2 linked regions of the Lepisosteus oculatus genome follow. The protein of the gene in region 1 interacts with the protein of each later gene in a pairwise test. Links are inferred from orthologs where the notes say so. Each region holds a gene or a part of one and is shown in the gene's direction. Other genes may lie near its edges.

Region 1 (3,929 bases):
TATATTTTCAGTAGCTGTGTATTTATTTTTTTAACCACTATGGCATGTCATTTGCATTGTATGTTTTAGACTGCAGTGTAAATTCTTTTAACTGCTGTCATGGTGAAATGTTGTGACACATACTTGGTTTTGTTGCCTTATTTTCAAACATGCTCTCTTCTTTCAAAGGTTATGTACCATTTTCTCAATTCACCACGTTTCTGATTTAGCCAGTGCTTGTGTCTTTGTTGGTACTCCCTGAATTTAGTTATGAAAAATGTTTTTAAAACAGTTTTAGCTTGAATGATAAGAATTTCATAATGGATGTCTTAACAATGTTATAATAATTTCCACAAATGACTTTTATCAAACTTCTCTATTAAATACATACAGTAGTTATTGAGGTAATACCACTAAACTGAATTTCCCACTAAAAATTGAAAGATGTTTTACAACAGGTTATCCTAGGAAGTAGAAGAACACTTTGTAACCTTTTCTTTAAAATATTTGTAGAGAAGAAGGCTTGCGAACCAGGGGCAGGCCATTCACCCGTCTTTTTTACAATTTAATCGTGCAGTAAGTAAATAAACTAAAATTTAATGCAGACGTTTTTCTTGTGTATACTGCATCTGTAAAACCTCAGCCTCCCCCCCCATAACCTAGTTATGAAGCCAAGTTGAGTACTGAGTACAAACGTAGGAAAGTAAACGTTAAAAGCAAACCAAAAATCTAAAACTGAAAAAAGCATTTCAACCTAAATACCCCACAGCCTGACAAAACAGAAGTTAACAGATCAATAAAACTTACAACTATCACACAGTCTAGTATTCAGTGGATATCGTTTTCAGATGGTATGTTAGTTAATGTTTTCACAACAATTATGTAGCTATTACAAATAATGTCAAGTTCAAAGGAAAGACATGAACATTGGGTACTATATATTTCACTAACTCGTTAATTAGTATCCTGAAAGATCTGTGCTACTCACACAAGGGGGAAAAAAGTTAATTTCACCATATGATAAAAGTTTTAGGAATGTACTGTATCTCATTTCTTTTAAATACAGAATCGTTTTCTGCTTGTAAATGCCATCCTGCCAACCGCATTTCGATGTCAACTGCTTAAATATATCAGAATAGTACTATTTATAATGCATTTTAAAACGAAACTGGTAGAAAATTACTGCTTTTCCACATTTATAAATAAAAAGTAATACTTGTCATCGATCGTGATGCCAGAAAAACACGTGTACATTTTTTAAACCAACGGACAGTGTTAACTACAGTGTTAACTAGTTACCCCTTAAACCGCCCTCGCTGGTGATTTGTCACTTTGAAGTCAAAATGATGGTTATAGTGACGTTATGTCAAAAGCGATTACTTCAACAGAAAGGCATAGAAGAGAAAATTGGGGGGTTCCGAAATGCTTTAACAAATTCAGTAATTACGCTGTACGAAAATAAGAGGAAAGGCCTTGGTTGGACTTGTTTGTTTATGACTGGTATCGGTATCTGTAAGAGCTATCGATTTCAGCACTGCTGAAATGTTTTTGTCATCCCGGCCATTAGGAGGCGCAAGAACAAATCATTCCGGCAGAAACAGCTGAGCTCCGACCCTCTCTATCTGCACTGTTGCTACATTGCATGCTGGGATGAGTAGTGGCTTACCCTGGCAACGGAAACAGCCGGTTGCACATCATTACTGTATCATAAAATATAGAATACTGTACAGTGAGATCGTTGAATTCATAGAAACAAACATTGCAAATCGTCGAATTTAGAAAAATTGAAAACACGATGCAAACGGAAGACGCACGGTATTTAAAAAGGTAAGATGCAATTCTGCAGGGGCTGTCAGCAAAATAAGCAAGCAAAAATAAACGCTTTTTATTGCGACTGTGTAAGATGGGATAGCTTCATGTCATCTCTTTTTATCAGAAAATGCGCTATAAACTGATACGTGCCCATCGAATATGTATTAAATGCCATTTGCTGGAAAATATTGCAGTTCTGTGTTTGAATCATTTGCCAAGACGAATCCCTGCTATTCATTGTATGTGCTCGTTTGGGTGTGGGCCGTCAGTGTTTTTAGTGTAATTTCTTCTTCAGTTAAAAAAGGAACCTAGATTATTTTCACATAACTGAGGTCATCACGTTATCGTTTGATTCTGCTCCATATTGTGCTGGGAGCAGAACGTGTTTATATTCCAGCACAATAGGAAACAAACATAATATTAAAATAAACATGTTGTTGTCCTCCGGTGCTTTCTAAAGCACCAGTTCAAACCCCATTGTCTCTTTGAGGGACAAGTGTCACTCAACGTCTGGCTAAGCAGCATGTTATTATCATAATCACAATACGTATGATTAAAAAAAAAGAGTTGTAAGCACAGACAATTGACGTTTGCGAGAGAATTATGTCTTGATTTGTTTATACCTTATATCCAAGTTTATATCTTAGAAGACCATACAAATGAGGAAACAATATCATGCATGACTGCTTGCTGTTAATTCAGCTGCCATGATAGCAAATGAGCCAGACAGGAGAAAGTAGAATATCTATGAAATACCTCCAATTTATTTTTCATGTTTTTTTTTTTGTGTACATGATTGAATACCACTTGGTAAATGCTGATATTAAATATGAATTTCACAGTATCTGGTTGCTTTAAAAGACATAACCCCAAACAGTGGTCCTTGTAAAATCGCTATGTAATATATTAGGTAAGTCCTTAGCATCTATTTCCCTTTTTGCTTCCATTGCAGTAGTTAAAGAAGCCGTTGTTTTAATATTTCCCTGAAGCTTAGTGGCGAGCCTGGCCCTTGCATGCATTTCAGTCGTTTTGTGTGTGCCTTTTTCCTCCCCTACAGAAAAGTAAAGGGAGGAAACATTGATGTCCATCCAACTGAGAAAGCCCTTATTGTCCAGTATGAGGTGGAAGCTACTATTTTGGGTGAGATGGGAGACCCCATGCTAGGAGAACGGAAAGAGTGCCAGAAAATGTAAGAAGTGGTGATGTTTTAAATAGGTATATTCTGTAGAGTTGGTGTGCAGCCTAGCTTTCTTAAAATTACATTGGTTCGCATTTTAATGTTCATATTTTATTTCCTTTTTACATTTTTAGAAGTGGCAGTATATATATAAACCTGTTGGAATGGATTTATTGTAAAATAAATCTCCATGGACAGACACTGAAATATTTAAGAATTGCTGTGGATTTGATAGGTGCCAATAAATATATTTCTCTTGGTTTAAGTCCTTGTACGGGGCTTGAAGTTCGCTAAGGCTTACTTGCCACTTTCCCACTAAAACTGAGTTCTCTCAGGAATGTTATTTCTGAATCACCCCTTTTAAATGTTTGAGACTGACAGTTATCACCTAAATTGGACTCAGACCAGGTCAAATGCTTTTTCTTTTTTAGCTTTGGTTCAGATCCATCATCAACGACAATCCATGTTATGACAATCTGAATTGAATTATGTGGATACTTTTCTATTCTGCACTGAAAAAAGAATAAGTAAAATATTTTTAAAACAGGTTTTATTACAATAAATATAATAAAATATTGGATATGTAATAGTAAAGTCTACTGTCTGTATGTACTGATCAATACAAGCTTCAAATAATTTTTTAATCATTATTTTATACAGGCTTCTGTAGAGACAATGCCTTAGTGCTCTTTAGCAATAAATGATTGAGGAGTCTCTGATCAAGTCAATTATGACAAACATGATTTGCGCAATGCTGTTAAGTTTACAGTATAACATTTTACCTGTTTACTTTTAATTGCGACAGCCAGCTGACACACATGATATAAAGTTCTTTTTGCCTTACCTGATCTGCATATAGATTTGATTAAAAAAAAAAACATTGTGAGGAATTCTATTATATTTTGACTGTTAACTATCATTAATGATGGATAGATGTGTGGAAAATAAAACTAGTGGTAGC
Region 2 (3,929 bases), about 230 kb from region 1:
GTAAAATCCGTTGTGGTCGAAGCAAAACATTTCTGAGCTCCCCTTAAGGCCTCCTGAAGCCCTGAAGCACTCTTGAAGTTGACTGCGACTATCTGAGAGCCAGCCTGCTGCAGCTGCTGGGCCAGAGGGCTCCCTGTGTCCTGGACTGCTGCTCTCACTGCGAAAGAGCCATCCTGGAGCAGGGCATGGACGACACTCTGCCCCAGGTCCTTATCTGCACCAAGAACCACAACCGTTTCCATTGCCTCAGAAAGGAAGAAAATAAAGGGAGTAGCTGTGTTTAAATTTCCTGCTGCAGAAGACAAAAGGTACAGTACACTTAACCTCATTTGGACTTTTTAGTTTTAAATTCTCATGGTGGTGTACATATACATACAAAGACAAAACGTTTCATAGATTTTTGGAACTACTGTAAGGTGAAACAGCTAAAAACAATATTAAGAAAACTTAAACACCTTCATTACTATCATTAGTTGGTAAAGAAAACATGACAAAGACTTACTTTGTAAAATAGGACAATGTAGGTACTGCTGGTAATAAAGACACAGTGTTTACAGTGAATGAGACCAGAAAATACTTTTTTAACTAGGAAACAATAATTAAAACAATAGTGAAGAAGTTAATTGTACATTTACCGATACAAGCCTACTTTTTTACTGAGCAGTCTGAGTCAATATTTATTGTCCATTACCATTACAAGAAAAAAGATTGTCTGCCTCCCTTATCTGTTAATATTTTCATAAATAACCAGATATAATCATTCAACAAATGGAGAGCATACACTAAAGCAATACAAAGATTTGCATTACTGATACTGTATTTGTTTTTTTTTAGTTTTGCCACATACCCGTTGTTCTCTGTTTGTTTTGTCAGTCTGGGAGGTTTCCTGTACAGTTTATGGCTTACCCTTGTGTTTCCACAGTGATTCTATGGAAACCCTAAATGGGGCCAGTATTTCTCCCTTAGCAACAGGCAGCAAGAAATCTGGTGCTACATCTAACACAATGGCTGTGTGGCTGTGAAACTGGCTGGGGAACTGCAGGAATTCCATACTTTTTCTCCTTGGAATCTGATGCCACAGTACTACAGTTCCGTGCACAGTTCCGTGCATTAAGGCAATAACGTGCATTAAGGCATTGTCAATCTCAGGATTTGACTTGTGCTTGATGATGATCAAAATGAGGACAGGTCCTAATGCAACTGTGAGAGAGCATGTCAAGTCAGAGCTTTTAGCCTAACACCTAGACATTTATGGTTAGCTACAAGATTTCTCTTTGGTCAAAACAGGAAACAAAGTATCTGACCATAATCTCCCTGGATCACATTAATATGGTAGCTTTGTGGGGACAGGTGCAATCTATACTACCCAAAGAATTATTAAAAAAAAAAAGGTTCAAATGGAAAATGGTTACTTTAAAGCCTTTATTTTTTAGCTGCCACACGCAAAACTGATGAGAGATTAAAACGTCCTTCCAGTTACACGGGGTGTGTAACAGGTGAAATGAAACAAAAGCTCAGGAACGTTTTGCACATGTGCAACGAAGAGCACATCACTGTTTGTCTGAATTTGCACGAATTTGAGAACGGAAAGTGCGGTAGGCGGTACGAGTCTGCTGGTCTCTAATGGTTTTCCTCCGCGCGTATGCCCCGAGTGTAGAAACATTTCCTGGAACTCTTGCCTCACAGCCCCTGCAAGAGGATGTGCTCCCGCTGTTGTTGTCCGTTATTAGGACTCTGCCACTGACCTGCTGAGGACAAGAGCTTTTATCACAGCCCGGACACCATGTCGCTGTTGGACACCATCCGACAGTGGGATGAAGGAGCGGCCGCAGTGGGCAGAAAGGATTGGGCTACAGCTCTGAAAGTCTTCTCTGATATCGTGGACAAAAACTCCAAAATATACTTCAACATTGGCATCCTTTATTTGATTACTAAAGACCTGGATGCAGCAGAGAAGGTGAGCATACGCTGTACGCTTTTTCTTTTCGATAGTGCAGAAGGCAGGAATCTACCTTGAGGCTGCTGGCAATAAGAGGTTTACTTGCCAGTGGCTGTGTACGTACTGTTTTTGCACGAAACAGAGAGATAATTTTGTACCCATATTCTGTCTCCACTCAATTCAGTTTAGTTTTTCATTTTTTATTATCCCTTACGTATCAAAATCGGTCTCCCACGGAAATTCACAAAATATGTGTTATAAACAGTATTGCCATCACGAATGAAAAGCACAATCTATACTTCTGCAAACGCATTTTTCTTTCAGTCGTTGCTGAAATGCAAGTCATTCAAAATGGGGAAGTAAACCTGCAGGGCAGAAAACAGCAGTCTCACTCGATAACTACTTGTTGCAATTTATCAGTGGAAAGAATCACAATTCTAAAACAATATTTCATATATTTATTGCACATCTGTGCTTGAAAGATTTCCTTAAAACTAGTATCATACAAGCTGTGGTCTGTAAATCTAAACAACCAACAGCAATATTCTTAAGTAATATTTCAAATATTTGAAATACAAACCAGAGACTTTTCTGATTTTTAAAAAAATATTCTAGTTGAGAAACAGTGTACGTTTCATTAATATTCAGACACACCTCTGTTTTTTTTCTGATATTAGAACAAAACAGTTTGAATTATTCAGGGAGAATTTCCTCAGAAATCACAGTTTGTTTTAATTTGGAAGCTTTTATCTTATTTCCGAATTCTCCTGTTTTTCCTTAGGCTTTTGACAACAGCATCAGGAAGGATGAACACTTGGCTGTAGCCTTTTTTCAAAGGGGGATAACATTTTACAAACAGCAAAAGTAAGTCTGCCTGGTGTTGATGCTTTCCTTTAAAAAATTCCTCACATTTACATTACATATAATATGCATTATAAAACCTAGTTTATAAAAACAATCCTCTAGACTGTCTCTTGTTAGAAATACCATCACAAATACCTAGAAAAACTAATAGTTATTGAAGACACTTGTGATACAAGATGCAGACTTGTTTTAAGTGCTGGAATTATAAAGAAATGAGAACCATAGAAACAAAAATCTTTCTTACATTGTATCGTCACAATCGGTTATAATTGCAGATTTAGGAGATGTTTTTTTAAGTTTCCCTTATGAGTTTGCAAACAAATGTCTTTCTCTTTGACTGCATCATTTGTTTCCCTATGACCTCCCCGAGTTAGGTTTGAAGAATCTTTAAGTGATTTTAAAAAAGCCTTCACAGAGCTACGTGGAAATCAGCTGATTGACTACAAGCTGCTTGGCCTCAGATTTAAGCTGTATGGCTGTGAGGTAAGAGTTCAGTGTGGTAAAGGTTTTTTTTTCTTCATTTTCTATTTTGCATTGTATTTTGTGGACCAAAAAAGAGGAAACGGAGTCACTGTCACACCTGGAACTGAGTCTGAATATCACACATCGTTCACTGGTCACATGTTTCCTCATCAGTACTCGATACACCAACGCCTGATTCACAATACATACAGGGAGCAATAGAAGGAAGAAATCCTAAGAATAGCAGCAGTGTCTTATGCTCTCAAGGACATTGACTGTGTTCACCAGACACCTTGTGCACCATGTCCATGGACACAAGAGACAGTCGTGTTAGTCACAGTGAAGCAATGAAAGGTCCTGAGGTTCAAACTGTGATTGTGCTTCCATTGCAATCAAACTTCATATCCTTCATGATACTTGCGTGAAAAGGCCAACTAACTTTAGAAGCACCCTGTGCTTTCTAAGCACAGATTTTTCACCAGAACTATTACTCACACAATAGCTTCTTATCTATCAGTCCCAGAGTGACTTACTTTAATGTGTAGGTAAAAGATCTGTATATTGTAAATACCACCTCAGATACAGGCTGTAAGAGTTTAGGTGAGATGTTCTGCAGTTGTCAGATGTGAGGCTTCTCTCTGTGAATCCCAAACTCAGAAGCTCC

The links.
Region 2: the proteins of kifap3a (region 1) and ncf2 interact in binary tests that used the Homo sapiens proteins (3 or more experiments, as listed by UniProt). The two-hybrid records come from large-scale screens. The link is inferred for Lepisosteus oculatus from reciprocal best matches to the Homo sapiens genes KIFAP3 and NCF2.

What each region holds. Positions count from the first base shown.
Region 1 is NC_090704.1:8,064,180-8,068,108, forward strand, and holds the start of kifap3a (kinesin-associated protein 3a), read left to right. Parts: upstream 1-1,408; 5' UTR 1,409-1,774; coding exon 1,775-1,806; intron 1,807-2,848; coding exon 2,849-2,980; intron 2,981-3,929. UniProt on the Homo sapiens protein: Involved in tethering the chromosomes to the spindle pole and in chromosome movement. Binds to the tail domain of the KIF3A/KIF3B heterodimer to form a heterotrimeric KIF3 complex and may regulate the membrane binding of this complex.
Region 2 is NC_090704.1:7,838,352-7,842,280, reverse strand, and holds the start of ncf2 (neutrophil cytosol factor 2), read left to right. Parts: upstream 1-1,602; 5' UTR 1,603-1,783; coding exon 1,784-1,957; intron 1,958-2,720; coding exon 2,721-2,803; intron 2,804-3,047; exon of another isoform or gene 3,048-3,175; intron 3,176-3,177; coding exon 3,178-3,286; intron 3,287-3,929. Other genes in the region: nmrA-like family domain-containing protein 1, read right to left, coding at 1-242. UniProt on the Homo sapiens protein: Subunit of the phagocyte NADPH oxidase complex that mediates the transfer of electrons from cytosolic NADPH to O2 to produce the superoxide anion (O2(-)).